Linked DNA regions of Tribolium castaneum. The protein of the gene in region 1 interacts with the protein of each later gene in a pairwise test. Links are inferred from orthologs where the notes say so. Each region holds a gene or a part of one and is shown on either strand. Other genes may lie near its edges. The genes, in order: exd and CtBP.

Region 1 (3,511 bases):
TGACGCCAGCACCCAATGGAAAATGGTTGGCTTGTCAAAGCATGGACAACAAAATTGTCATTTTCTCGGCATTAAATCGCTTCAAAATAAATCGAAAAAAGACGTTTACGGGACATATGGTGGCTGGGTATGCCTGCACACTTGATTTTTCACCAGATTTGAGGTTTGTTATTATTTTTTTAACAGTTGTAGGTTTTAACAATTTTTTTTGTAGTTATTTAGTGTCGGGTGACGCCGATGGTAAGTGCTACATCTGGGATTGGAAAACTACAAAGTTGTATAAGAAGTGGAAAGCGCACGATAATGTCTGTATCAGTGTGCTGTGGCATCCGCACGAGCCGAGCAAGTTAGTGACAGCAGGCTGGGATGGACTTATCAAATACTGGGATTAAGTTTCCAAGAAGGTGTAAATTTTAAGCGAAATAAAATATTTTAATTAGAAGATACGTCCTTTCGCTATGGTCACGTGATCGTTATAACCAATCAACGTAAGCGATTTCGGTCACCTGACTTATGTCTACGGTGAAACGTCACTCATTTTGCGTTTTTAAATGCCTACGTCTAATTTTGACAGCGAGATTTTAATTCCGCCGTTAAAGCATTTAAAAGATTAGAAAAAAATTAGATAAAAAATGATGTTTTTGCAATTGGAAAAAAATAAAGAATGATTATTAGTATTTTATTTAATAGTAATTAAATTTTCTAACATCAGCATTTGCTTTTTTTTCAAAAAATCTTTGTTCTCTAAATCGTCCTTTTAATTATTAATTTTTTTAATTAATTAATTTTTTCTCAAACTGTATTTTTTCGTCTTTGCAACAATCACACATTAAATTCACTTTCAAAAGACAATAAGTTGCTACTTTCGTTCGTTCCTATGTTGATTTCTAAATTTTCTAGATAATTTAAATGGAGAATTAAATACTTTAATGGGACTTTAATTTTTAAATATATATTTAAAATGATGAAACGGGGTGTTCAGTATTATAACTAATTAAGTCCGTTAGACGAGTTTTGAGTTACACAGGTCCGGACTTTGCTGGTATTTTGCAAATTTGTTTTATGGTGGAGTGGCATAGTTTTTTGGTAATGACTAAAAGACAACGTAGATTGTGAAATAACGTAATTAGAGTATGATTTTACAGCATACGTTTCTATTTTCTATATTTTTCTCAAAATTGACACAACTTTTGGTCATTTACTTCAGATTTTTTGCTGTTGAATGACTGTTAGATGCTGATTTCAAGAGAATCAACGATTTTTTCTATCATTAGTTCTCTGGTCCTCCCTAGTTTGTGAATGAATCCAAGTATAAACAACTCTCGCTTTAGTAAACCACTTTTTCCAATCCGTGCCAAAATTTGAATATCATCCAAAGGCCATAAATCTCCCCCACCCGCCCCTCAAAATCCATAAAATTCCTGCTTTCGCGCATGCGCCCCTACTACCCATCCCGCAAACATCCTCCCGCTTTGTTTACGTATGCTGTCAAGCGCGTCCATTTCCTAGTGCCGTTTGCGTGCCCCCATGGACGACCCCGGCAGAATGATGGGCCACACCGGCGGCGGCCTGATGCCCCCTCAGCCGTACATGAACGCCCAGGACGCGCCCGCGGGCGGCGAGAACGAGCCCCGCAAGCAGGACATCGGTGAGATCCTCCAGCAGATCATGAACATCACCGACCAGAGCCTCGACGAGGCCCAAGCGCGCAAACACACCCTCAACTGCCACCGCATGAAGCCGGCCCTGTTCTCCGTGCTGTGCGAAATCAAGGAGAAGACGGTGCTCAGCCTGCGGAACACGCAGGAGGAGGAGCCCCCCGACCCCCAGCTGATGCGGCTCGACAACATGCTGATCGCCGAGGGGGTGGCGGGCCCCGAGAAGGGCGGCGGCGCGGGGGCCGCCGCCTCGGGCTCCGCCGCCGCCCAGGCCGGCCAGCCCGACAACGCCATCGAGCACAGCGACTACAGGGCCAAACTCGCCCAAATCCGCCAAATCTACCACCAAGAACTGGAAAAGTACGAACAGGCGTGCAATGAGTTCACCACACACGTTATGAACTTGCTGCGGGAGCAGTCCCGGACTCGCCCAATCACCCCGAAGGAAATCGAGCGGATGGTGCAAATCATACACAAGAAATTCTCCTCGATTCAGATGCAGCTGAAACAGTCGACTTGCGAGGCTGTTATGATCCTCAGATCGCGGTTTTTGGACGCCAGAAGGAAACGCCGGAATTTCAGCAAGCAGGCGTCGGAAATTCTAAACGAGTATTTTTACTCGCATTTGTCTAATCCCTACCCCAGTGAGGAGGCGAAGGAAGAGTTGGCTAGGAAATGCGGGATCACAGTGAGCCAGGTGTCGAACTGGTTCGGGAACAAACGAATCAGGTACAAGAAGAACATCGGGAAGGCGCAGGAAGAGGCCAATTTGTACGCGGCGAAGAAGGCGGCAGGGGCGTCGCCCTACAGCGGCACCCCGACCCCCATGATGTCCCCAGCGCCCCCGCAGGACTCCATGGGCTACTCCATGGGGTCGGCCTACGACCAGAGCTCAGCCTATGACGCCAGTAGCTGTGGTTACGACCCAATGCACGCACAGGAACTGTCGCCCTAATCAAACCCTAGCTTAATTTTAAGGAAATACAGTTGTATACTAACCCATGTATACCGAATTTTGTATCGTGTACAGTGTGTTTCTGGGTTCAATTGCTTCAAGTTTTACTTTTCTGATAGTATAGGACGTACTTGCAATATATTTTTAGGTTGATTGTTTTAGGAGTTAAGGCGAGTTTTTCTTCAGTATTTTTTGTATATTTACTTATTTTTATCGATAAGGAGCAGCTGGGTGAGAGAACTTTGCTTTAACGCCGAGGTTTTTCCATCGAAAATGAAATTACAGTGCTTACTATTTAAATAAATAACTGTAGTAACACGTGGATCATTTTTTCAACATACATGAAATAATCACAGAAAATCCTACATGGAAATAAAGGGCGTAGAGAGACTCACGTGAATAAAAGCCCCATAAAAATTAACTCACTAAAAAAAAACAATCACTGTCATTGTGGATAGATTTATAAAATAATTACTCAGATGTCAATAAAAGTTTTAGATTTTTTAGACGAAGCGTCGTTAATTTAATTCGCAATTAAATGCGTGATTAACTGGACACGTGACCAAATTAAAGAAATGTGATTGGTGATTTAAGAGGTATGCAGAAATAACTTTCTAGGATAAAATTTAGTTCCTCTGTAAACCGAGATTCTAGGGGTGCAATTTCAGTTGGGACACCCTGTATAGAGACCAGAGGGGGAACGTAATACCCACTTATTACATAAATCACAACTTATCGTGAGCTTTTTTCTTTTTGGTATATGGGTATTTTTATCTGTGTGGGCTTTAAATTTTTCTGCTCAGACCCCACAATTAAATTTGCCGCTGTGACACTTCCAGTTATACCAACACTACACCGAGTTGGGCCCGTCGATATACGCTTATTTTGGCTTAAATTT
Region 2 (3,827 bases), on another chromosome or scaffold:
ACACGATTTTTTCGAAATTAATTGATGGCGTTTTGTCTGTCGGCGGAGAAATGGCGGATGCGCCGGGTGCAAAGAGAAATGTTTCGTTTTGGTCTTATCGACGAATAAAACAAAAGGTATTCCGTTAATTAAACTATATCTGAGAGATTAAAGTTTGCGCGAAAGAAGTTTGAAATGAAATAAGCGACAAAGAGGTCCATCCCCACCTCTTTTTCTTTCCACCGCCGGCAGTCAGACAAGGAAAACTCGGCAAACTTTTTAACTAGTCGCTCCGACACGGGCCAAAGTTTGCCCGAGAACTAAAGTTGTTACAAAAGTGTAAGTTTATATACTTTATAGCAAAAGTTAGTTCAGGGGAACTGCCGTCGACGATCGATTTTAGCAACTTTTACGGGACTTTTGTCGAGTCGATTGAGATGATTCTTGTGTGTGCGGGCCAAACTTTTCGTCGACTTTTTAACCGATCGGTGATAAATGAGACGGGGAACTTTGTACAATTACAATGCGATTTTTTGGCGAGGACAAGTGGTCCCATGCAAAGTTCATCGATTAAAAGCGGGGGTGGTGGCGGAATTCGACGTCGTGGAGGGGTGGGTTGTACCGAGGCGGAGCGAGGTTTCTCTCGGTGATTAACAGCGGAAGTTGGACGAGGAGGGAGATGTCCAGCGGTTGGTGGCGGCAATAGCGCGGCTTCGTGCGAAGGAGAAGCAACGACGGCGGCGGCGGCGATGATAATTTATTAAAATATCTAAAGTTGGCCGTTGGCGTTCCACCGCCACACCATATTCCGAAACACATTTCCCAAACTTTCCCGAAACCAAACATCGTGCAATAATAGTTGAGGACTAACTTTGCCAGTTTCGTAGTCGAGAGTTGGAATTAGTTTTAACTGTAGTAATAGTTGTCCGAGAGAAACTAACCCTCTCTATACGACGGACAATTGCCATGTTTACTGTCCTCGTTTCGACTGTCTCTGTTTACATCATTTTACAGTGTGATTTTAATAGTTGTCCCAAAATTTGAAGAGGTAGTGCTAGGGGACTAGTTGCCTTATTCACATGTATTTATAGTTCCTGGGATACGAAGGGCCTTAGAAACTATAAACATTCGGGTAAGGTAATAAGTTCAGTTGATTTCGCATATTTTACCCTCCACTTTTTAAATTTATCTGCAAGTGTCAAGATCGCCCGCTATAAATGGAATTTGTTTTTAGGTGGTCTTCATGCATCGCAATGGATCACATATTCAGTCGCGAAGCATAACCTAAGAGGTTGGTGTCGCGGTCCGGCGTTTTGCGAGTAAGACGGTGGACGGCTGCATCATCATCACCAGTGTGAAGGGGGTGAACTGTCGTCGTCGTCGTCGTGTTGTGATCAGTGTCGTGCCGTGAATGCGGCTCTGGTGTCGCGGTTAGTGTTGTGTGTCAAATGGACAAACGAAAAATGATGGCAAAAAGGCCTAGAGTTGAAAATTTGCGCGGTCCAATTTCGAACGGGCCGATGCAGACCCGACCATTAGTGGCGTTATTGGACGGAAGAGACTGTTCCATCGAAATGCCGATATTGAAGGACGTGGCCACGGTGGCGTTCTGTGACGCGCAGAGCACCAGTGAGATCCACGAGAAAGTGTTGAACGAGGCGGTCGGAGCCCTAATGTGGCACACCATCGTTTTAACTAAGGAAGATCTCGAAAAGTTCAAAACGTTGCGTATCATCGTGCGCATAGGCAGTGGCGTCGATAACATCGACGTTAAAGCGGCAGGGGAGCTCGGCATCGCCGTCTGTAACGTCCCCGGCTACGGCGTCGAGGAAGTCGCCGATACGACGTTGTGTCTCATTTTGAATTTGTACCGACGGACCTATTGGTTGGCGAACATGGTGAGGGAGGGTAAGAAGTTCACCGGTCCAGAACAAGTGCGGGAGGCGGCCCAAGGATGCGCCAGGATACGTGGGGATACTCTCGGAATCGTCGGGCTCGGCAGGATCGGCTCGGCGGTGGCACTTCGCGCCAAAGCCTTCGGCTTCAACGTCATCTTCTACGATCCCTATCTCCCCGACGGCATCGAGAAGAGTCTAGGACTGACGCGGGTCTACACGCTCCAGGTACGCACCCACCATCGAAATCAGCGGTATTTCATTGGCTCATTTTCAGGACCTTTTGTTTCAATCGGATTGCGTGTCCCTGCACTGCACCCTAAACGAACACAACCATCATCTAATCAACGAGTTTACCATCAAGCAGATGCGACCGGGGGCCTTTTTGGTGAATACGGCGCGCGGTGGTCTCGTCGACGACGATGCCTTAGCTCAAGCCTTAAAACAGGGTCGCATTCGAGCTGCGGCGTTGGACGTCCACGAAAACGAACCGTACAATGTGTTCTCGGGACCATTGAAAGACGCCCCGAATCTGTTGTGTACTCCACATGCAGCCTTTTATAGTGACGCTTCAGCAACAGAACTTAGGGAAATGGCAGCGTCGGAAATAAGGCGCGCCATCATGGGCAGGATCCCGGAGTGTTTAAGAAATTGCGTCAATAAGGAATATTTCATGAGCCCGGGCTCATATCCCGAAGGTACAGGTAATATTGTTACTACTAATGTGATGAATGATTTGACGTGATCCCGTTGTGTCTGACTCCTAGGTTAATTTACTGTCGATTAATGTTTCATTTTCTTTTAAAAAAGTGCCATAATTTGATCAGTTCGGTAAGCGTATTAACTAAAGGGCGGATTATATGCCATATGAATATTTTTTACACTTCTAATTTGTAATTGCATGTTTTACATTTGACTAGTATTTACCCCACCTTTTTAGCAGAAATTGTTTATTTTGCTTTTTGGGGAAAGTTTAAAAACACACATTTGTACCGACAATTCTCAGCGGGAGGTAGTTTTTTTGCAACTGTTTCTATTGACCTGTTTCGGAAATTTCGGGTAGTTTCAAGTACATATTCTTTTCCACCATTTCTTTGATTAAAAGGCTGAATTGTGGCTAAAATCTCAGAAAATAATAAAGACTTACTACGTACTAACTAAATACTAACGCATTTGTTTCTTTAATTTTCCACTATTAAAGTTGGCTCATTTGATATAAAAAAATGCTGGAAACATAATATAACTGATAACTTACAAAAAATTATGTATATTCCTGCTATAAAAACTGTCAGGGAACAATTCTATTTATTTAATTGTAAATTAAAATGTGGTCAAGTTGTACATTATTGTTAATATGTTAATATTATTGTTAATATAACTAATTTAACATTTATTACCTGTGTTCAAGAAAAGTTTTGCTGGAATTGACGGAAAGTTGCAGCTTACATGATAAAAGCAACACAAAAATTAATCTTCAGTCAGGCTTAAAATTAAACGATTTTTCTGTATTATGGACCAAATCACTGGTCTGCCTGTGGGGATGTGCTTCTCTCTTTTGTCATGCTACAATATAATCGGTACCTGACAGTGAAAAAGTCGAAAGTGCTAAATATTCAGGACTAGTTTAAAACAAAAATTAATATTTAATAACCATTGGCACAATTTTACCTAACATTTATGAGTGGTTTTTTTGTTGGAAGTAGATCCAGTAAAATTAACCCAATCGTTACAGGTATACAGGTGAAAAAATTAAAATTATTTTTCAATGGTGTATGGTTGTTTTATAAATAATTTGGACTTTAAAAATAAAATTCCAATATCCTGTAACTTTTGTAAGTAGTGCCGTTTGCACGATTTTATGCTTTGTTTCAAATAGAAAGTGTGTTCAATGTTCACTTTTAATTATATTATTTATTTTTTGGAAAAAAGGGACTTAGGCTGTTGTTGCTGTCA

The links.
Region 2: the proteins of exd (region 1) and CtBP interact in a two-hybrid assay, tested with the Drosophila melanogaster proteins (2 studies listed by BioGRID, with this or other methods). The link is inferred for Tribolium castaneum from reciprocal best matches to the Drosophila melanogaster genes exd and CtBP.

Annotation. Positions count from the first base shown.
Region 1 is NC_087400.1:5,271,123-5,274,633, reverse strand, and holds exd (extradenticle), read left to right. Parts: upstream 1-1,523; 5' UTR 1,524-1,527; coding exon 1,528-2,613; 3' UTR 2,614-2,931; downstream 2,932-3,511. Other genes in the region: pre-mRNA-processing factor 17, read left to right, coding at 1-163, 215-392. UniProt on the Drosophila melanogaster protein: Transcription factor which acts with the selector homeodomain proteins altering the regulation of downstream target genes such as wingless (wg), teashirt (tsh) and decapentaplegic (dpp), thus affecting segmental identity.
Region 2 is NC_087395.1:17,862,312-17,866,138, forward strand, and holds part of CtBP (C-terminal-binding protein), read left to right. Parts: intron 1-1,213; 5' UTR 1,214-1,427; coding exon 1,428-2,102; intron 2,103-2,151; coding exon 2,152-2,578; intron 2,579-3,827. UniProt on the Drosophila melanogaster protein: Corepressor targeting diverse transcription regulators. Hairy-interacting protein required for embryonic segmentation and hairy-mediated transcriptional repression.